3 linked regions of the Tamandua tetradactyla genome follow. The protein of the gene in region 1 purifies or fractionates together with the protein of each later gene. This does not show direct contact. Links are inferred from orthologs where the notes say so. Each region holds a gene or a part of one and is shown in the gene's direction. Other genes may lie near its edges.

Evidence for each region.
Region 2: the proteins of KLC1 (region 1) and KIF5C purify together in Homo sapiens (co-immunoprecipitation; 4 studies listed by BioGRID and IntAct, counting the BioPlex papers as one, with this or other methods). This does not show direct contact. The link is inferred for Tamandua tetradactyla from reciprocal best matches to the Homo sapiens genes KLC1 and KIF5C.
Region 3: the proteins of KLC1 (region 1) and KIF5A purify together in Homo sapiens (co-immunoprecipitation; 7 studies listed by BioGRID and IntAct, counting the BioPlex papers as one, with this or other methods). This does not show direct contact. The link is inferred for Tamandua tetradactyla from reciprocal best matches to the Homo sapiens genes KLC1 and KIF5A.

The regions. Positions count from the first base shown.
Region 1 is NC_135340.1:89,202,508-89,210,255, reverse strand, and holds the start of KLC1 (kinesin light chain 1), read left to right. Parts: upstream 1-4,730; 5' UTR 4,731-4,855; intron 4,856-7,748. UniProt on the Homo sapiens protein: Kinesin is a microtubule-associated force-producing protein that may play a role in organelle transport. The light chain may function in coupling of cargo to the heavy chain or in the modulation of its ATPase activity.
Region 2 is NC_135329.1:118,827,444-118,835,443, forward strand, and holds the start of KIF5C (kinesin heavy chain), read left to right. Parts: upstream 1-4,993; 5' UTR 4,994-5,008; coding exon 5,009-5,134; intron 5,135-8,000. UniProt on the Homo sapiens protein: Microtubule-associated force-producing protein that may play a role in organelle transport. Has ATPase activity. Involved in synaptic transmission. Mediates dendritic trafficking of mRNAs.
Region 3 is NC_135333.1:124,840,199-124,847,187, forward strand, and holds the start of KIF5A (kinesin heavy chain), read left to right. Parts: upstream 1-3,982; 5' UTR 3,983-4,087; coding exon 4,088-4,216; intron 4,217-6,989. Other genes in the region: DCTN2 (dynactin subunit 2), read right to left, coding at 239-307, 1,134-1,169. UniProt on the Homo sapiens protein: Microtubule-dependent motor required for slow axonal transport of neurofilament proteins (NFH, NFM and NFL). Can induce formation of neurite-like membrane protrusions in non-neuronal cells in a ZFYVE27-dependent manner.

The DNA.
Region 1 (7,748 bases):
GGGTCTTATCAGTCTCCCCACTCTCAAATGAGCGTTTTCACAGAACTGAAGCTGAGTTCTTCCAAGACAGGAGTCCCGCTGGCTCCTGGGGAGCACTCCTGGGGAGCACCCCTGGGGAGCCGGATTTAAACCAGCAGTCCCTGGCCTCTATTCCCCTCCCCTTAGAGAACAGTGGGTGGGTTGGTGCAAGTGTGTGTGCGTGTGTGTGAAAGACAGAAAGGGCCAGAGGGCCAGCGAGAGGGGTGGGGTGGGCCACCGCACCCCTTCATGCCATCTCTTTCCACCCAAAGTGGGAGTGTGTTCTGGTGTTCCCCTTGTTCTGAAGGAAACAGTTACTGGAACTTTCCGCCTGGCAGCTGGCACGCAAGAGGAACCTGGAAATCTGATAAAATCCATCTTTAGACCATAAAGCCAGAGACCCAGAGAGTGCAGCAGGTCAGAGCCTGAACTGGCCCCGGGCCCCTTGGCTACCCCGGTGGGCAGGATGCCGGCCAGGCCCCACCCGTGCCCCGTCCCCAAGCCTGAGCCCTGCAGACCGCAGACCGCGCTCCAGGACTGCTCCCCGCGCCCTGCTGCTGCCCTTCCTCCTCTCTTCTTGGGTTCTCTTCTCCCCCTCCCTCTCTCTCTCCTCCTTTCTTTCCTCCCCCTCCCCCTTTCCCTTAAATTCACTGAGGATGATGCCTACCAGTGCAGGGTTCTCAGGAGCAAAGATGAACCCAGAACCCCTGCCTGCCCTAAAGGGGCTCCTGGCTGTCCTGGGAGACAGAAATCCAGAGTTTACAGGAAAATGATCAATGCTAAAAGAACAGACACCCCCTTTCCCCCGCCAACCCAGGTTTCCCCAAGACAATTACTGCCTGGCTCAGCACCCATCTGGCCCGGCGCCCTCCCCCTGACCTTCACCTGTGGGGCCTGCCCACCTGCCCAGCGAGTGTCCCTCCTCCACTGTGTGTCCCAGGCCCGGGGTGCCTCACACATGCAGTCCTCAGTCAACAATGGGGACAGAACGAATACGGGGTGGCATGCTCCCCGATTATCTGTGAGGCCTCCGGCCTGACAAACTCCAAGAGGTCGCTATCTGCGCCCTCACGGGACCCAGCTGGACGTTTTCACTGCCCCTGCAACAGGGACTTCAGCCCTGGGGTCTGCTGGGCCCTAGCGGCTGCCTCCAAGGGTGTCGCTTCTGCCCCAGCCTGGCCAGATTTCCATGCTGCCTGTGACTCTCTCCAGTGTGGGAGCACAGCAGTGGGGGAGCTGGGGCTGGCTTAGGAGGAGAAGAAAACAGAGGAGGGCCGAGGACGAAGCCTTGGAGAGAGGGAAGCAGAGAAGAGATGGGAGGAGGGGGCTGAGGCAGGCGGGGGCCCCCTTTTCAGGGTGTGCAGGCACCCTGCGTGCTGAAGAGCCGCTGGCTAATCCCCCACAGCCTGGGGGCCTCAGAGGTGTTCAGAGACAGCCAGGACTTGTGCAAACAGGCATTTCTGGTCCACCCTGGGACTCCCCCCCAGCCACTTATGCTCCCACGGCCCTCTGCACCTCCTGGTTTAGGGGAAGAACAGGCAATTGGTTTGCTGACTCTGAAGTAGCCCCAAGGCCTTCCCCGCTTCCAGGTTCCCACCAGACACTGATGATGACTTGGCTGGGCCTGCATCTGGAGCACAAGGCCCTGTTTTGATTCTGGAACCTGAGGAGCCATTCCTTTCCTGGAGGCAGCAAGAAATCACAGAATTTGCAGAGCGAGTGGAGTGAGGATGCTGAGGGCAGTGAAGGGAAGGCGGGCACGACCCTCTGCCTGGACAGCCCTGCCCTCCTTCCCTCCTGCCCTCCAGCGGGCAGCCAGGCAGATCCTGAGACCACCCCCAGGGTAACTGCGGAGTCACCAGACCTGCAGCCTTCAGGCAGAGCACCCATGTCTTTTTGAGGACAGGCAGATTTCTCTCCAGGGAGGCTGAGGGGTGGAGGGTGGCAGCTCTGGCTGCTAATGGTTCCCTTTAAGGCTTGGCCAAAGGGAGAATGGGAATTCTTGAGGATGGGCCTTAGTTCCAGGGGTCAGAGTGCCTCAAGTGTCTGCTCCACCAAAGGGGAGCTCCGTGCAAAGAGGACCTGGAGGAGGCCATCCCTGACCTTCCTTTCTCTTTTCACCCTCACAGTGGGGGGGGTGAGGAGGGGGTCCAGTTGCCTCCAGCTCTGGGGCTCACTATCAGAGGGGGGTGTCAGCTGTGTAACCTGCCCACATAGTGAAGGAAAGGAGCATAGGGGGAAGTCTAGGGAAGGTGGGAGCTTAGAGGAAGTCTTCTTGGAGGAAATACCTCTTGGCTGATCTTGAAGGAGAGCCAGGACAAGGGGGCAGGGGGTGCATTCTGGGCAGAATGGACACTTAAATCCAGGGTGTGACCATGGGAGGGAACAGGTGAGCTTGGGCATGGGTGAGGGTGTTAGGGGCAAGAGGACCGGGTCCTGTGGGTCTTCCAGATGAAGTTAAGGAGTTTCAACTTGGCCCTGAGAGGGGTGGATGCATCACAACACTTCAAGTCACATCACTAGATTCACATGTTAGGGTGGGGTAGATGAACCCAGCTTTCAGTTCTGTCCCCAACCCTCCAAGCTCATTCTGGCCTGAGCACCTTTGCTAGAGCACTCTTGCCCTGCACCTTTGTGCTGCCTGGTCTCTTCCTTGCTTGTCTCAGCTTTCTTGCCCTAACTCCGAGCCCATCCCTCACTGCTTGCCCAGCGTGGTCTCTGAGCCATGTCTGTTGTACATATCATTTTATGTTCACCCTGATCATGGCACGGCATGCTCAGATATTCCCCACTTCATGTGTTTGTCCATCTGTCTCTTCTCACTGGAATGTAGACTGCTGCAGAACCGGAATCTTCTCTACCCTGCTCACCAACACATTCTTGGCTCTTTTAGTGGGAATCAAAAGAGCTCAAGAAATATTTGCTTAAGGAATAAATGAATGAGATAACAAAGCCTGCACCTGTGGCAGTGAAGGGAACCGGGAAGAGATGAGTTAAATAAATACTGAGGTGGGATCTTGCCACCCCTCAGAAGTGGGGCATAAGGGCCCCAGGTTTCTTGCTTGGGTGATGGGTGCTTGGAAATGCCACTTATTGAGCCTAGAGGCACAGAAAGATAAATGAGCCTCTGCTCAGCCTGTTACGCAGGAGAGAGTGGATGCTCACAGGTCCCCTGCCTGCAGTTGCTGGGCCTGGGCCTACAGCAGTGGCTGAGAAGCAGGCAAGTTAAGGCCGGTGACAACCAGGCGCGATTTGGCCAGTGGAGGGACTTGACTCCGTCCGATTCACTGTCTCACTCTTGGGCTCTGTAACAGCTGTGTCACCATAGGTGCTCCCCCTTTCTTAGCATTTGTAAATATTTCAATATTTCAACATAACTGGACCTCCCTGGAAAAACCTAGGAGACTCACTTCCCTGGTGACCCGTAACTGCAGGGTTAAAATAGGGATAGCATCTGAAGAGGACAGGCACCAGGAAAGGAGTACAGAATGGGGGGGGGGTATGCAGGCGGACACAGGAAGCCCTCCTGCTTCCTAAAGCCACAGGGATATTTCAGGCACCTGGAGGATTCTCCCAAGCTGGTGGCAGGCAACGAAAGCTGAGCCTTGCCCCCTGAATCAGCACCGTCCTCCCGGCCTCCAGGCCGGTTGCTGGGCTGCTGAGTCAGACCTGCAGAGCTGGCAATGCAGCAGGATACACGGGGCCCTCCCTGACCTGGAAGTTCCGCCCTGCAGGGGCCTGGAGGTCCAGGCACTGCAGCAGGGGTGTGCGATGCTGCCAGTGGCTGCGACAGCAGAGCGTGGGCTTCTCTTCTCTTGCCAGGCAGTAGCTGGTTCAGCACCCTGCCCTTTCCCCTATTCCCAGCCCCAAGTGCAGTGTGGGTGAGGCCTTTGTAGGCTTTGAAGGAGGGCCTGGAAAGTCCCTCTAAGCTCACACTCTTGAGGATCCAGGGCCCTGGCGGCAAGGGAGGGGAAATGGGAGATGAGGCGGGCGCAAGGGCCTGGGCCTTTAGGGGCCCGGCTGTTAAGACCCCGAACGTACCCAGGGTCTGGCCAAGCCTTGCAGGAACCCTTCCTTCAGAGGGAGCTCAGAAAGCCTCCTTGCAGGGGGCAAGGTACGATTTCAAGGAGCAAATACGGCTTCCGACCCGGGCTTGCCACAAGGAGCGCCTGTCAGTGAATATCACTCCCGATGTATGAGGCTGAAAGGGGCCGGGCCTCGGGTGGGAAGAGGCCGGGGGCGCGGCGTTGACCGGCAGGGGAAGAGTCGGATTTTCCTCTGCCGCCCTGCCGAGCGCGTCGGGCGGAGCGGCAGCGAGCAGCCCACGGACGGCGCCCTCGCACGCCTCGCCACGTCCCGGCCCAGTGTGAACGAAGCCCCACGGGCTCCGCTCCGACCGCCAGGGACCATCAAAGGCACGCCTTCCCGGGCCTCAGTCTCCCCGCGCGCAGGCGGCGGGGGCCCGTGACGTCATGACAGGGGCGCCGCGCGGCATTGTGGGGTGGGGCGGGGCGCGGGGGAGGGGCTCGGCGCCATTTTCGGCGGCGGAAGCGGTGCCGGCTGCGGAGCTCTGAGCGCCTTTCGGCGGCGGCGGCTGCAAGGAGAGGAGCCGCGAGGAGAGGAGCCTCGTGCTTGCGCTCGGCGACCGAGAGGGACAGCGCGGCGGCCGGCCGAGGATGCTGCGGGTCGGCGGCCGGGTCAGCACCTCTCGCTCGTGACCGCGGCGCCGCGCCTGAGACACCGAGCTTCTCTGCGCGCGGCGGGCGGCCCGTCGGCGGCCCGTGCCCTCCACGTCCTGTCAGCGCGTGGCGAGCGCGGCCCCCGCAGGAGCAGGACGGTGAGTGAGGGCCGCGGCATGGTCGCCGGCCTGTCACCTTCCTGGCCCCGGCCGTCTCCTCGGTCCCCGGCCAGGTCTCGGTTCCGTCCGGGTTCGATGCCCGTCCGGGTCTTCCCGACAACAGCCCCGGTCCCCGGCTCCTCCCGGGTCTCCTTTCGGTGCTTCTCCTGGCTCCTGCCCGGTAACCTTTCCCGGTTCCCGGCCACTCCTCTGTACCCCTGCCCGGCTCCCTGTCTCGCACCGGTCCGTTCCCAGTGTCCATCCTCACCCTTGTTCCCGGCTCCGCATTCCCCGCCCGGCACTCCGCATCCCGGGCCCAACATCCCCCGCCCCCGCATCCCCCCTTCCCTCACGCCGGGCTCGGCCCTGCGGCGGGCGGGGGCGGTAGTTCCCGGGGACCGCTGCGGGTCGCGGGAGTCGCCGCGACGGGGTGGTGGCCGGCCCCGGGGACGGGGCTAGTGGGGAGGAGTGCCGCCGCCCGGGGTCTGCTTTGTCCGAATCCTCCTCCTTCCTTCCGCCCCCGCCCTCTCCCGGGCACCGCCCTGGGCGGACGCGCCTGTCATCCTCGTCGGCGACTGGAGCCGCCCGGGCCTCCATCCGGGGCCGGGTTCAGCAGAGGTCCAGCGTCGCCTGCCCCTTTCTTTTAATAACCCGATGGGAAAAGATTCTGTGCGCGGGCTTAACTCAGAGTGGCCTTGCTGCACCTAGCATGCTGCAGCCTCCGTCGTGGAGCACTTTTTTTTTCAGTCTTGAAATACTTTTTCGGTTATAAAATTTGGCGTCCCTCTTGTCTTGAAAAAAAAAATTAAAATTAAATAAAGCATTTAAAAGCTAAAATCAGTGCGTGGTGGACTGCATGGTTTTATAACTTAAGATTTGTAAGTCTTTTCCAGGTATTTTCTATCTTTGAGTTGTTGAATCTTCAGCGTGTGGTAAGGAGTACTTGCAAAAGTGGTGTTTTAAAAAGCATGAGAACAACGGAAAAGTGAAGATACATGCTATTTAAATTGCTGTGTGAAAGGGCAGTTGGGTATTTGGTTCTTTGCATTAGTTAAATTCCATAGTTTTTGTTTGGTTGGTTGGTTCTTTGTTTTGTATAACATAACTGAGCCATTGATCAAAACAAGTAGCTGGCAATAAGTTGTAATAGTTGAGTGAAAAACCCATTAGGAAATTGGAACAACCTCATTGAGTCTCATAATTGAATCAGGTTGGCAACAAGCCTGTCATAGAGGGAAATTTGACTCATTGTTGTTTCCTAAGTATTTTTAAGAATACACTGGCGTTAACTACTAAAATGTTCAGGTTGTGGGAAATTATTTATGGGAGGGTAGAAACAATTTTCCCCAAGTCATCAAGGAATGCACTGTCATATTGACCCCTGGTGCTGGTAGTGCTCCTTGCCCAGTACTCTGGAAGGCCAGGGTGGAAGCCTCACTGGACCCAGGGTTACTTTTCTTGGCAGTGTTTGCTTATAAAAACACTAGGCAATACATAGGGGGCATATTAAAAAATATGGGGGATTGAGGACAGTGATCAGATCCAAGGAGGCTAGCAGGGAGGAAGGAAATGTCCTCTGAAAGATGCACAGTGTTTTCAGTGTTTCACAATAAATAAAAACTAACTGCAATTTTTAAAATTACATATTCTTCCTTATGTTTCATAATGTTGTCTAAAAAGCCAACATGTAGCTTTCCATATAGGTCTGAAAACTGTTTAAGCATGTTACATAATTCTGTAAAAAGAAAACTAGAAATAGAAAAAGCCAAAAATTGAACAAAATGAATCTGGGAGCATTTTTAGTAGATATGTCACCAAGTAAGTGGTATGATAAACCAGTATTTTATATAACAAAGATAATTGAGTAGTGTATCTTAAACAAGAGTAAAGGAAAATTTTAAGTACCACACTGCAGGGAATAGAATAAAAATGGTAAGCAAATTCAGATCATGAAAGCATGGTGTTTTAAAAACCCACCGTCAAATGTCTATTGAGGACCAAACTCCCTAAATGCTAGATTCTGTGCCATGCAGTTGCAGATATGGCGATAAAAGAGAGTCATTCTCTAGGAAATTCTAGTCTGGGTGGGTGGGGTGAGGGAGACCCAGAATTAAACAGCTAGGCATCGTAGGTGAGGGTAGATTATGTGATGAGTGTGCTGAGAAGGGGTGGGGACCAGGGAAGGCAGGGTCTAGAGGAGGTGACTCCTGATCTGAGTCACGATGGGTGGGAGCTGGTTCTGTGCAGAGAGTGAAGTCTTCCTCCAGTAAGGGGGAAATGTTAGGAAGGGCTGAAGGGTAAGAATGGAAAGATGAGCTTATGGAAGGTGTCTTGGTTGTACAGGAGGCTGGTCTCTTCCTGAGGGGCTTAAGGAGGTCTGGAGGTACTAGTTGATTAGCGGGTGCAGACAGTGGTGTGGTAGGTGGTTTGAACAGAGATGGAAGGATGGAGACTAGTTTGGGAGTTATTGGCAGGAGTCCAGGTGAGCGCAAACTCTCGCGGTGGGAACCAAGAGGAATGGTGGGATTAGAAGGGTTTAACTAACGGCTAGAGGGGATCTGATTTGGTGACTTGCAATGGGGTGATGGTGGGGGCACTGGCAGGAATGGGGTGGGGAAGATTGGGAGTGGAGGAATCCAGGGAGCAAAGCTGGAGTGGTACTGTTAAAATGTGAGTCAGACCGTATGGTCCTCTGCTGGAGTTCTTGCTGCTGTCCCACAGCCCTCACCCCCCACCTCTTGCCCCTGCTGCCCTCACCAGCACGCAGGCGTAGTCGGGACTCTGGAAGTGTGGCAGCCTGCACCTTCCCTCCACGTTACTGAAACCCTGCCCTACTTTATCTTTCACCTTAGCAGTTATCGCTGTCTAAAATACAGTATTATTTTACTTAATT
Region 2 (8,000 bases), on another chromosome or scaffold:
AGAACATCAACTAGTTCCATCGTCCTGTCCCATATTATTAACAGCCCTTTCCAACATGGGAAAGTTAGAATGGGCAAAGCCCAGATAACCCTAAATACTGGGAGAAAGTTCAAAGGAGAAGGTGGGTCATAACAGAGAAGATAGGATTTAACAAATGAGTATGATTGCTGAATCATTATATTGATATTTTCTTTACTCTCCAGTGTCTTGGAGCAGCTAGAAGTAAAAACCTAAAATTGTGAAATTGTATCTCATACCCAACTCTGAAATCTGTACTACAACTAATTGTGGCAGTGTGCTTGGAAATTTTTTGTATATATATATTGTATATATTGCTTTTTTGCAAATGTGTTATTTTTCACAGTAAAAAAATGTGTTTCATTTAACCCAACATTTCCAAAGTATTTTCATTTTAATATGTAAGCAATATAGAATAATTATTTATGAGTTATTTTACATTCTTTTTCATACATAAGTCTTCAAAATCCTGTTTTGTTTTTTTTTTAATATAGCACATCTGGTTTTGGGCACTAAATTTTTATGAGAAATGCTTGCTGTGTATTTAGATTTCAAAAAATTTACAATTGAAAAGGTAGATTCACATACCAAATTATTCCATATACTTAAAAATTTTCCAATAATTGAGCATTGGTTTATAAATTTAAATTTTAATTAATTAAAATGAATAAAATAAAAATTCACCTCCCAGCTTCATTTTAAGTGCTTAGTAGCTACCAGTGGCTCGCGGAGGTCTGGAGAGTATAAGGTCACAGAACCAAATGCCATAAATGCTGTGATTGATTGATTTGCTTTGTGTCCAGAGATGGTTCCAGCTTAGCCCAATGATAAAAATCCTTAGTTTGACCTTTAAGTTTTTTCATGTCTGGAAACTAACTTGCCTTTTGACTTAATCTCTTACTAATCCCACTCAGGTTGCATTGGTCTCCTCACTGTCCCTGGCCATGCCAAGCTTTATCTGATCTCTATACCTTGGCCCTTGTTGTCCTCTCCCCTAACTATTCTCTTGTATCAGTTGAGACGTTTTCAGCCGCAACTAACAGAACACTGACTTAAGGGATAGGCAAGTTTATCACTCATGAACAAGAAGTCTAGAGTAGAGCAGGTGTTGGGTTTGGCAGATTCACCAGTTTGAGGACCCAAATTTTTGGGTCTCTTGGCTCCTGCTGTCCCGCAGCTTTGGCTTTATTTTAAGTCTAATTCTCCATGTGGTCACAGCATGTTTCCAGTAGCTGGGGAGTGATGGTTGAGTAATAGAATGTCTTTCCAAACTTCTGGCAAACTTGTACCTTTGTCTCCTTTGCCTAAACTGGCATTAGCCTGCCCATCCTGAACCAATCCCTGGCAAAAAGGCAGGGATGACTACGTTTGACTGACAGATTAGAGTCCATACCTGGAGCAAGGGACAATTCTCCAACCATGTTCATGCTACACAGTACGGGAGGGGTGGAAAGGATGTCAGGGAATTAACCCCAATGACCAAAATATCTCCCTCCCTCCCTTCCTTTCCTTTTGTGACTACTACCTAGCCCATCTCCTTGATGAAGTCTTCCCAGGTACCACTAAGACTTCATCCTCTGCCCCCCAACTTGTTTCTAAGTTCTCTGAGGGCAGCAACTATTTTGCAACTCCTACCTAAGTGGGGAACCTGTGGTAGTCCTCTTGAAAAAAGGCTCACTTTATAGCCTTACATTTATATAGCAGCAAATGTCACTTGCACATTAATATTGGATGGATGGATGAACACATGAATGAAGAGTGAACTCAGTCAATGCAGGTAGATCTCTGTCCACCTCAAGGGTTTCCACGATTTTGACCACCTCAGACAGACCAGATAGCTGGTGGGCTGTGTGTGAGCTTCTGGGCATTCTCTGCTGGGCCCAGGGAGGCTGGAGATTAGACTGCCTTCTCCAGTATCTCATGAAGCTGACCACTGAATATGCTGGTTCCCTAGCCAGCACCTTAGAACTACTTCATGTGAAAACAGATGAGAGTGGCACTTGGGCCTTCTTTAACCTACTTTCACTGCATCTGAGAACAGGAAACCAAATTGGTGCTGCGTACAGTAGTTCATAACAGTGAATTTTATTAAGCGTGTCCTCTCTGCTAGTCAGAGGACTTGTATTCTGAGGTATACCTGGATTTAAGCAAAAGATGTGATCCTAAAATTAACTAAATAACTATTACATAATTTTTTGTTGCACACCCAATAATAATAATAGTAATTGACATTCAAAGGTTTATACCATGTATGTGTCAGGGGTCATGGCCACATGTTTCAATGCCTGACAGAGACAGGCTTTTGATTCTGGTAGTTTCGGTCCAGAACCCATACCATTACCCACAAAGCCACATTCCTTCTATTTCGTATCAGGGATCATTTTAGGGGCCTTCAAAGCATTATTTCCTTTCATTCACTCAAAAACCCTATGAGATGATATTATTATTCCAATGACAGAGATGAGGAAATTGAGTCTTAAAAAAATTCAGTACATTGCTATGGGTCTAGTAAGTGACAGAACTGGGTATAGCTCAATCACTCAGGTGTAACTTCCTCCTAAACTGGATTTCTTACTCACTATATGCTGCCTACTAAGTGCTAGAGACCCAAAGATGAAGCAGATGACATTACCTGTGGAAGTGCCATGATAGAGACATGCACAGGAGACTATGGGAACCTCAAGGAGGACCACCAGCTCTGTGCTGGCATTTAGTGAGTCAGGGAAGGCTTCATAGAATAGGGAGGGTTGAGCTGAGTCTTAGAGGAAAAGGCAGCACTGGCAAGTTAGAGTGGACACCTCATCGTTCTGCCAGCCCAGCATCACACCCTTCTACTGGGACTAGCATCCTCTTTTGGGATTTCTCCATGGTTTTACAGAGTCCCTAGCTCTGGTTGATTGTGTATGGGCAGTCACCAACTCAAGCGCAGGTCAATCAGAGACTCTCCCTAGGATTTTTCAGCCAAAACTCTGAACAAGAATCTATCCTCTAATGGTAGAAACTGAAAAATGAACCTCAAGGGCTGTTGGAAGCTGGGTTTCCTGCCATGTAGAGGGAGGCTGTAGAGTGAGAAAGAGTAAGAGAACAGGGAGCAGAGGAGGAGAAGAGAGTCCTGGTGGCCTGCCCTGCCTCTGGCTCAGTTGCTCAATCATATCTTGAATAAGCAAGATACATCTGTATCCTTTTGGAAAACTCCCTCTTTGCCTGATTGGGTCAAGGGGCCTTTCTATTGCTTTCCATCATAAGAGCCCTGACACATTTACCTAGTGTCTCAGTACCATAAATTGGATGGCTTAAAACACAGAAATTTATTGTCTCATGGTTGTGGAGACTATAAGTCTGAAATCTGTAGGGGAGAATCTTCTCTTGCTTCTTCCAGTTTCTGGTGTTTGTTGGCAAAACTTGGCATTTCTTGGCCTCGGTCTTTGCCTCAGTCACCACATAGTCTTCTCCCCTGTGTCTGAATTGGTGACTCCTCTTCCTTCTTATAAGGACCCTGATCAGACTGGTCTCATCTTGACTAACTGCATCCTCCAAAGACCGTATTTCCAAATGAAGTCACATTCACAGGGTTGGGAGTTAGGGCTTGAACATGTCTTTTGGTGGGATACAATTCAACCCGTAACACTTAGTAATGGGCATGAATGGGTGGAGAAATTCCAGGAGAGCAAATGGCCTAAACAAAGTATCAGAATCAAGAGGTAACATGGTAAATGGAGAAAGCCACACATAGTCTGGTATTTGTCAGAGTGTAAAAGGCAAGTAGTGGCAAGAGACGAGGCTAAATAAATAGGCAAAAATCGGATCATGGGGGTCTGGGTGTATCCTGTGAAGGAATTTGGACTTGATCTGAACAAATTCTGTTTATTCTGCAGAATCCTAAGTAGAAATTTAGGTGGAATTCTATAATCTTAACTGCATTTAATAGTATTTAAGAGTTTCTTAACCTAGGAGTGACAGGTAGGCTTCAGCTGTCCTGGAGACTTCTGAATAGCACGCAAAATCATGTGGTTGTTTAAGGCTATTTTATTTTATTTTTTTTGCCATGGAAAATTTTCCTAACTTTCATCAGAAATAAGCTGAGGCCCCGACCCAAAATATGTTATGAATCCTTTGTATATACAGGCAAACCCAGGTATAACTGGTTTCAAATATCCATGGCAAATCTCATCCTCCACCCCTGCCCCCCGATTTACTCACAACTCCTACAACAGTCTTCAGAGCAAAGAAAATGCTGGATGACAGTTCTGGTTGGACACTGTCTTAATAAGTGGTTCTCCTTTGGAATCAGGAGAAGTGGTAAGAGATTATATAGACATGGTTTTCTATATAAATTTTAACTGGGAATATTGGATATGACCTTCCATCCAGTTCTTGGCTTGGGCAGTCAGACCAGACTTGTAGGCTCTCGGAAATCGCACCTGGTGCACCACCCTGTTCCCGAAAGCTAACTACAAGTGTCCTTGACGTTCCACCTGCACATGCAGCGACTACAAGTCCCGAGATGCGCGGCGCTACGCTGAGAGCCGGGCAGGGGCGGGGCAGGCCCCGCAGTGACGTCACCGTCCCGGGGCGGGCCGCAGGGCGGGGGGCGTGCGGAGGGGCGGGCCCCGGAGGCTGCGAAGCGCGCTGGTGCTGAAGCAGGATGGCTGAGCGCGCAGGAGCCCGGGAGGTCTGAGCCCAGCAAAGCTCCCTCCTTGCGCATCGCCTCGTCTGCCCTCCGCGTGGTCGCGGGCGGGTGGGCCCCTGGCGAGGGCTGGGCAGGGCAGGTGTGCAGCTGGCGGGATCGGGGGCTCGTAGGCTGCCACCTCCCCGGTCTCGGAGCGGCGGGAGCTGCCCAGCCAGCTGAGCTATGACCTGCTGAGAAGCGTCGTCGGAGGCTGCAGGAGGCGGCCACGCTGCGGGCGGTGCATTCCGCGGCCTCCTTCCTCGTGGTGCCGAGCCCCGGCCCCCCACCCATCCCCGCGCCCCCTCCCCGCCGCTGGCCGAGATGGCGGATCCAGCCGAATGCAGCATCAAAGTGATGTGCCGGTTCCGGCCCCTCAATGAGGCCGAGATCCTCCGCGGGGACAAATTCATCCCCAAATTTAAAGGCGATGAGACCGTGGTGATCGGGGTAAGTGGCCGGGGCGTCTGACCTCCCCTCCCGCTTCGCGCCGCAGCCGGGTGCCCCGACGCCCCAGATTGAGCGTAAATGCGCTGGCCGCCCCTTCGGACAAGCCCGCGGGGCTCCCCTTCTGCTCCCCAATCCGGGTGGGCGCGAGGAGAGACCACTCCCCAGCCCCATAGGTCCCTCCAGGGCAGGAGGAGGGTCGGCTGTGGGTGGTGGGGCGGGTCCCGGGTGGCAGTGGTGGGGGTGGGGGCGAGGAAGGGCTGGGCGCCGCCATTGTTCGCGGGGTGGGGGCCCGGGTGGGCCTATTGTTTCCCACCCTGGCCATGCCGCATGGGTAGTCTCTTCGAGGTACTCTTAAGTCGGGGCGCTTGGACCCCCTTGGAAGTATGAGCTCTGCAACCCACAAATGCTTGCAGGCGTCTGTTCGATTTATCGAACACTTTGTCTCTTCTCTCGACCTTAACAAAATAAGAAGAAAAATCCAGGCCTCAGCTCGGGGATTCCGTGGCCGTGTAGACGCGGCTTCCCGCGATGTTTCACCTTGCTCAGCTCGCGCAAGGCGAGGGTAGATGGGGGGCACTGGCGGCCTTGGTGGTCCCAGGAGGTCCGTTGTGTCTCGTTCTGCTTGCCCTCAACCCAGGCTGCCTGGACGAGGAGCCTAGGTTTGACACTTCCCGGCTGGGGCGAACCCCACCTTGTGTCCACAGACCCTCGAATGTGCTTTTCACTGGGTGGAGTGTGTGGGGGGGCTGGGTTCCCACGTGTGGAGCTAGGGGGGCAAGAACGCATCCAGATAGCCCGTCTGTGCCAAGAGCAGAAGTTACTTGTGTGGTTAGGGGCTCCTTGGTCTTAACCACTCTTCTCCCCATTCCCTGCCCCCTCCGCCTGGGCCCCCTATTTAGCTCCCTCTGCTGTGGGGCTGCTGGTGGGGGGAGGGGATGCCATTGGTTTTTTTTTTTTTTTTTTTTTTAGTTCTTAAAGACATAGTCAGCCTGGTCCCCCTTTCCTGACCCCTACACGGTTCCTGGCATGTGGCTGCCGGTGCCGCCTTTGTACGCGAGCTGCCTGGGGAGGGACTGAGTTAATCGGAGCCCCCAGGTGCCGGCTGACACGTTCCTGGTAGTCGGCTCTAGGCTGCTGATGCAGCCTTCCCGACCCAGCATTGATGAAGTGATGTCATCCCCACTACTGAGCATGCTCTTACTAATCCCCCCCACCCCCCCACTCCCCCAGTGGCCGGTGTATTTAGGTCAAGTGATTGACAGGTGACTATTCACTGAGGGGCTCGTAGGTGTCGGCCCGAGCTGTCTCTGAGCACGGGAGGCCGAGGTTGGCGCAGCCGCGGGCGCTCCCCAGCAGCTTGGCGGAGGTTGTTTGCCGCAGTCCCGGCGAATGGCCCGGGGGACCAGTAGGTACTAGCGTACCGGTAGGCGGGCGCTCTCCGCTCACGGGGAAGCCAGGCGGGGCTCTGGCCTCAGGGCTTCATCCCGTACCTCCTTTGGGAAGGCAGCTCCCCTTGACGACCCATTCTCCCCTCCCCATTTTCACAGATGTCAGGAAACCACGACCTTCAAGTGCTAAGTGGGTGGGCGTTCTTTCGGAGAGCTAACCTGTGAGGGCCAAGAAGAGGGATTTTCTCTCTGCTAAGTGTTTACTTGCAGAGATGATTGCCACAATTATTGATGAGGAGGGAAATTCTAAAGTTATTGACAGATTTGGGTTCGTGACCTATCCACAGCTAGCACCTTGGGGCAGACAGTGGCTTGTTTGGGTTACAGTTCTCAACCGGGATCTGCCTAATAGTCTGATCTGCTCTTTGCTCAGCTAGGCTGTGGTTTAGATAGAGTGGGAGTTACTGGGAACATCTAGTCTCTGCCCCCTGGCTGGTAACAAATTTTTAACAGATAGTGCAGCACTAGGTCCTGGTGACCTCCCCCTCCCCTCCCCCCCCATCCCCCCACCCCAGAGGTTTTAAAGAAGAGCCTGGAGGAGAAGTTTTCTTCTCTTTGTTTTTCTTCTTCTCTTTCTTCTAATAGAGTGAAGTATCAGGACAAATGAGGAGGAGGAATAAATCTTTGATCTATGTTCATAACAGAGATCCTTAATTTTAGGCTTATCTTTCTTCCATGTTGTGACCTTCATGTAAGTGTGTATTATCTTCCTATCTAAATATTCACTTGTTATTGACTGAATACACTGAAGCGGTCATCACATAAAATAAGTAATTTAAACAAAAACTGAGGATTTGAATACATGTGTTGCTCTTTAACTGTAACATGTAATCCTTTTATACAATGGACAGTTTTCAGGGTTTTGTTTTTTTTGTAGATAAACTTCTTAGTGTTGTAAAACCTTAATATACCCAAGTGTTATAAGTATACAGTATAGAGCTTGATGAATCTTCACAAAGAAAATGCCCCACCTTGAAACCACCTCTCAGATTAAGAAATAATATTTTCATGACACCAGAAGCTCCCCTAATGCCCCTTTCTAAGTCATTACATCCTCCTACCTCAGGGTAACCATTATTGTGACTTCTAATGCTATAGATTAGTTAGTTATCCTTTTTTTAAAAAACTTTATGTACATGGAACCATACAGAATGTTCTTTTTTGTGTGGCTTCTTTCGCTCAGTATTATGCTTGTCCAATTCATCTATGTTGTGGCTGCAACAGTAGTTTGTTCATTTCCATTCTCCATAGCATCCATTATATGAATGTACTATAATTCATTTATCCCTTAGCTGTTGATAGATATATACATAGTTTTTCAGTTTGGGGCTAATATGAATATTGCTGCTCTGAACATTCTTTTACATGTCTTTTGGTAAATGTGGGTACAGAGCAGAAATCTGCCAGATGCTAAAGGA
Region 3 (6,989 bases), on another chromosome or scaffold:
AAAGGCGTAAGGATAAGGGCTTTCCCAGCAAGTCTTCCTGGTTGTAATTCCTCAGATGTAACTCTCCTTCATGGCACTGCTCTTTGTTGGCTGAGAGGCCTCTGCAAGCCCTGCAACCTACATAACAGCTAGGCTGGGGTTGGCATACCCGCTTACTGCTGGCCAGAGAAAGGAGAAAGCCTGCCTGGGGAAGATAGGTCAGAGCCCAGAGGGGTCCTGAGGCAGCACACAGTCTTACCGCATCAAACTCTGCTTGATCATCCTCAGGTAGGTCGCTGGTTTCATAAACATCTGGCTCGTTCCTGGCCTGCAGGTAGAAGCAGTGATCACCCAACCACACTACCCAGCATCCAAACTAACAAAGAAAGCATAGTGTGATGCTGAGATTCTGTCCTTTCACCTCTGCCTGCCCAGAACAAGTCAGTTCCCCATGTTTTAGAGGAGTGGGGATGACAGTAAAGATATCTGGGCCTGACAGTAAATGGTGAGCGTTAGTGATGAGAAAAATACTATCCAGAATTTGGAGGGGGGCAAATCTTTGCACTCATTATGTCAGAAGAAGGTGAGGGCTATTCTCAAATTAGGCCCTGTACACCACTACCGTAGCACAACTCCCATCCCGAGGATACAGGGAGGGCAACAACACAAGCAGAGTGGTACATGCCGGCATGTGCATCGGGGGACAAGTTCCCGTAGTGCAGAGTTCCACATCTGGCACAAGAATGGTTCTATCACCCTACCCTTTTCCTTGGTCGGGTAAGGCCATTATCAAGTGACCTGTGCGTCTGGGGTTCTGGGAGGAGAGCTTATGGAGGGATCTGGGACAGCACGGGCGGTGTTAACACGGCTGATGGAAACACTAGGTAGGGCACAAGTGGAAAACACCCGGTGCATTCCGGGGCCGGGTAACCGGCAACTGCCGGAAAGTGGGCCTGCTGCGCCGGCCGACAGCCTGGCCCAGTCGGGTCGGAGTCGTTGGGAAGGTGCTGTGGCCCGTCGGGAAGGGAGCAGCAAGCGCCCTTGGAGCGGAGGAGGGGCTGCAGGGGGGAGGGGTCGCGGGTTGGTATCTGTTGGGGATCCTTGGTAAGTCGCGGGCGCGTTGGTGGGGAGCCGGGGCCGGCCCCTGTACTCACAATGCCGGGAAGGTCGGCGTATTTAGGGTCCGCCATGGAGGCGGCGAGGCGGGGTTGGGGGACCGGGGCCTCGGAGGAGCCGGGGCTGACGTTCGGGTAGGGAAGAGGTTGAGGCCGGTCCCAGGCTAAAGCGGAAGCAAAGGGAGCGGCGGAGCAGTCGGAAGTCTCGCGACAGTAGCAACACAGGGAGAAGGGTAAAGCAACAGTCGCGAGAACAGCCCACTACCACACCCCTGACGGGGCGGTGATTGGCGAGGACAAGACCAGAGAATGAGGTAATGGCGGGGGTGGGGGTGGGGTCGCCGCCTAGGATTGTGGGTTTTGTAGTCTCGGTAGGCCGGGGCTCGGGCAGGGTACGACAGTAATGCACCTTAGGGAATTATTTCACAGAACTTATTTCCTTTCATGTTTACATCAAGTCTGTGAAAGTTATCCGTTGTATATATTGGAACTCACAGAAAATAAGTGACTAGATAAAATCACACAGCAAGTCCTGCTGCAGTACGGCCAAAGATTTCAGAAACAACAATAAAAAGTAAAATTTTGAAAACGCTTAGGGTCTATTAGGAATGGAAAAGTTACATACTCTTCTCAAGTTAGAGCTGTCGGATAAAGTACAGGGAACTTAGTTAAATGTGAATTCCATATAAACAATTTTTTTAGTGTATGTCCCATGCCATATTTGAAACATACACAATTATTCTTTATATGAAATTTAAATTTAACTGGGCGTCCTCTCTTTTTTTCTTCCTAATCTGGCAATGTGCTATCTCAAATTCACACAATAGGTAAGTGGTAGCTCAATGGTTGGCAGACCAGTCAGTCTCTGTTCTTCTAACCACTTGGCTAATAGTTCCCAGACTTTGGGATTTCATGGCTTAATGAAACTAAAACAACAACAATACCAAGATAGAAATATCTTGTGAAGATAGAAATAACATAGCTACATTTTTATTTTGCCAAGTAAGTACAACGAAAATGAAAACCTATGTATTATCACTGTCATTAATTAGTAGAAAAGTAGGAAGGACAGACTTTCAGAATAAAGGACAATCTTTTAAACTTAATAAATCCAACTTTATGAAAAATACACCCGTTGGCTTTTTTTTGGAGAGAGGGGGTATACCCAGTGGGTTTTTGTCTCTACCCAGTGACTTTCCATGTTCTGGCATTTTGCAACTACTTAACTAAGGATGCCACCCTGGAGCCCATGGGAGCCTAAGGTTAGGATGTTTCCTGAGTTTGCAGGATGCTGCAACACTTAGAAATAGTGCCAGACCAAGTGACTGGAGAGAAGTCTATTTTCCTGAGTTGGAACTCATTGTCATTCTAGCCATACTCTCCTGGCTTCTCCCCAAACTTCTGTCTCTCTTTCTCCATAGAGACTGCCTTCTCATCCAGTTCCTTATGCTGGATCCTTTTCATTCAGTTCCTTTAAGATGCACGTTGGGATCAAGGTGTAGGCCCAATGTGTAGGGCCCCTTCCCCCAGATGAGTGGTTGTGTCTTGTCTGGTCAGGCCAACAGCCACTAACCCTTGCCCCATAGTGTCTAAATGACGTCAGACATTTTCCAGACAGCTGTTGGGCAGAATTTCCATCCCTTCCTCCCTTCTCTCATCATTCTGCCCTTCCTCCCCTTGACCTAGAGCCTCAACCTGCAGTCCAACTCCCTGTTGGTCAGCAGAGGCCTATGACGGGAAGAAAATCAATTTGGCCAGCTTCTGAATGTTTCTGTCCAGGGGCTGCAGCCCCTGCATGAAGGAAGGACAAGCAATCTCTGGGTTTGGCTTTTGCTAGGGAAGGGGAAGAACCAGAGAAGAAAGACCTGAGAAGGGAACTGCTGTGTATAGATTCTGTCCAATTGTATCTGAGACAGGAAACATACTCAGGTAGGGTGCTAAACCTGCTTGAAACTGGAATGCAGAAATCCCTCCTAGAAAACCTCTTCCAAGCCCCTCTGGTCTCACCTAGCCCATCACCACTTCTCCTTCAGCACTTTCTGACTCTTAAAAAAGTTACTCCTACCCACTTCCATGCCAACCTGAACCTAGGAAGCAGAAATGAGGATTTCACTGGCTTTTAGATTCTGAAAGCCTAGAATGGGAGTTTGTTGCCCCTCAAACTGGTATATAGGTTGGGGGGAGAATAGAGTACAGCCCTTGGTGTAGAAGGGGAGAGAAGTAGCCAGACCCTTCTCTCACTCCTCTCCCCCAAGAAGGGGACCTGGAGTCCCACCCTCCCTCCCGGTAAAGCAGCTGCCCTTGGAGGTGAGTGGATAAGGAGTCCGGCGCCTGTGCTTGGTGGGGGTGATAGAGGAATAAGAAATGTGCTCCCAATTAGGACAGAAGATTGTGAAGGAGGTGGGGGATGCCCCGGGAAAAAAGGGGGACGGAAACCTTGTTGACACTATTCCCTAGAATAGGCCCACCTCCGATTTCTTATTCCCTTCCAGGGGGCGGAGTCCTACAGAGGGACAAACTGGTCGAGGGAGTGGGATGCAGGGAGTGAATTGGTTGGGGAGGGGGTGAGGGCAAGGTTCTCTCCGAGCGTCCGGCGGTGGGGGTGGCCGGGAGGAAGCGAGAAGACCGGAAGGATCACACCGCTCGGGGGTCGGCGTCCCGCGGCTCGCCCCCCCGCGGAGGAAGCCCCGCCCCCGCGCCTCCGTCGCGGCCCCGCCCAGGCCCGCAGCGAGGCGCTGCAGCGCGAGGGGCGGAGAGGCAGAGCGCCGGGAGAGGACCAGACGCGCAGATCTCCCGCATCCCAGTGCCGCAGCAGAGAGGAAGCGCGCCCCATCCTGCTCCCTAGCCTTTGCCCCTGCGACCCCACATCCTTCTCGGCCCCAGAGACCGAGCATCTGTCCTCCGCCTCGGCCTCAGCTGGGCGTCTCCCTCCTTCAGAGCACTTACCACCCCTGCAGCCCAAGAAGTGCCCCAGCCCCACGCCGGGGACCACTATGGCGGAGACAAACAACGAGTGTAGCATCAAGGTGCTCTGCCGATTTCGGCCCCTAAACCAAGCCGAGGTTCTGCGGGGGGACAAGTTCATCCCTATTTTTCAAGGGGACGACAGCGTCGTTATTGGGGTGAGTGCCGCCCCCAGAAGGGATTTCGGGGAGGGGGCGAGAAGCTGAATCTTCCCACTGCGGAGCCTTGCTCCCTACCTGTCTCTCTGCGCCCCCTCCCCACCGCTCATCTTCCACCCTCCATCCTCCTCGCCGCAGTCCCTCCTCTCCCCTGCATCTGGATGGCTGGGTGTGGCCTGCCCAGGCCGGTGGCCAAGTCTCCGCAGAGTGGGAGGGGGCTACTTCCCAGAGATCTGGGGACTCCACTCCTCTTTGCTGAGTCCGCATCCCTGAAAGGTAGTCCGGTGTTTTTCTGATGTTTTCCATTTCCCCTAGAGAAGGCCTGTCTTCCCTTTGTTATTGGTTCCGATCTCTACCCCAGCCTCCCAGGAAAGGAGGGGGAAGGCTAGTGGATGGGCTAGAAGCGAAGTGGGCAGCCCAGGGTCTGTGCAGAGGTATGAATGGGAGTGGGCTCCAGAATCAAGCCCTCCATCATCCCCCAAACTAATTAGCCTGGACTTGGGAGCGGGGGAGGGTTCAGGTCTAGTGAAGGGTTTTCTGGGAAAGGAATACTTTAATGCCACACCCGATTTGGGGGGAACCCCTGGGGTCCTAAGGAAATGTCTATCTATCCGTCCCAGGTACAGTGGTAAGTGGATTTCAAACCCCTCCTATCCTACCCCTCCAAAAAGTAAAAATGCCAGAACGCTGAAATCCTAATAAATACTTGCTTATTCACCCTTTCTGTTGATGCTCCAGTAAGAAGTAGCAAGCCATTGTTACCTCATTGTGACAGCCCCTTCCCATGCAGGAGATCTTATTAAGAGAACTAATATTTATTGTGTGTTTGTTGTTCTACATATTAAATCCTCAAAACATCGCTCTGAAGTAAGTATTGAGATTTCCATTTTATAGATGAGGAAATTGAGACCCAAAGAAGTTTAATGACTTTCTCAAGGTCACACAGTTATGGATCTGAATCCAAATCTGTAACTCAAAAACTCATGTTTTTTTTTCTCGACATCACACTGTCTCCCCAGATTTCTGTTCGGGACCTTTATCTGCTATGGCCCATAGGGAATTCCTAGGCCTCACTCATTCCACCTTTCCTAGATTAGTAGGCACCATCAGGCTGTCGGGTGAAAGGACCTGGGGGTTGAGTCCTATGGTCTTGAAGAGTGCTAGGCCAGGAAATGGTTGCCCTTTTAGTGAAGGGAGTGGCACATCTGAGGGTAGACCCCAATCTTCTCAAGGTCAGGGCTACTTATATATCTTTGATCCACAATGCTTGCCACAGGCAGCTGGCAACAGGCCTGTCAAAGGAATAAAGGGAAGGAGGGGAGGGAGCATGGGCCCCCTGAGTCAGTGAATTTGGGACTTTAAATAAACATGTCTTAGGAAGAGACCTGCTTACCTGTTCCCAAGGGCCCTAGTCTGTCACCACCCTGTGCCCTCACCCATGTTGTGAACTCAAATGGGTGCTTTTGCCTTATATGTGTGTTTGCATGTGGAGATTTGTCTCTTTTTGCCTTAGGACCCCAGGCCTTGCTCTCAGAGGGTCTTACAGTCTTGTCACTCTGTCTAGGCCAAAAAAAAAAAAAAAAAAAAAAGGGCCTCAATCATCCCCAGGGAGGGATTGGGGGTGACCCTTATCTGAGTAGCCTGGACAGTAGGCATTAGCTATAAAAGTTAGAGTTTGAGGTCCTCCTTTGAAATGAAGGCTGAAAAATTGGAAAGAGATGTTTATGGAGGAGAAAACACACAAAAAGCTTCCTCTTTTAAGCTTAGCTTCTTTGCCCCAGAAGGTTTTTCAGGTAAGTCTGAACCGACTCCTTTGGGCTCTGTGGGCCATCCTGGTGTGCTGAATGTGGAGCAGAGGGTGATGCTGGGAGAAAGGGGTATGCTGTCGATCTGTCCAAGTAGCCTAGCTAAACAGAAGAGACCAGTGGGAGGTGGGGAAGGAGGAGAGATGAAGAGAAGTCCAGGGCCCTCTGCCCATTCAGATTCTATCTCAGCTCCACAGCTAGCACTTCCTTGTCTGTTTAGCTCTATATTTGTAGGACTATACCTTTGTCTAGTTGGGAATCTTCCCATGCCCTAGCCCTCCCAGTCAATCTCTCACTCCGAGATAAATGCTTGTGAGGGGCCATTTTGTCTCAGGCAGCATCCTGGAGGTTTACCTTCCCAGCCTTATTATTCCTTCCTCATTTAGGGGAATGAGGCTATAGGAGCAGTGGTTTTGAGGGAACATGGAATAGTCATCTATCCCCATTCCTTCTTTTTTCCGCTGGTCTTCCTTTAGGACCCAGTGTGTGGGAACAGTTTGAGAAATTAATGGAAGAAGCTTCAGAAGCTTCTTTATGCTGTCTGGGAAGATGAGGGAAGAGCAAAACTGGGAAGGGCCATCTCTCCAAACCCAGCCCTGCTCCTTCCTATAACCGCTCTCCTCTGTACCTCTGCAGCATGGCCGGGCGGCTAGCTCTGGGCTTCAGAGTCCCTTATGTCAGTGGGCTTTGTTCTGCTTGGCAACGGGTGGGTGAATAAGCTGGAGAGACTGCTCTGCGAACCTTATCCCTCCCCTGCTCCCCTGACTTCCCCCAGGAATCTGGGGGATGGAGCTTAGCCAAAGTTAATGGCCTGAGTCATAGCAGAATAGTGTCTGGGTCACCGTCTCTGTGTGATGTGCATCTCATTTTGCTCTTTGTGTCACTCAGGATCCCAATGTAGTTTTGTCACTGGACCAACTTACGTGTCTCTCTGTTTATCTTTCTTGGCTATGCTGCGGGTGAGCGGC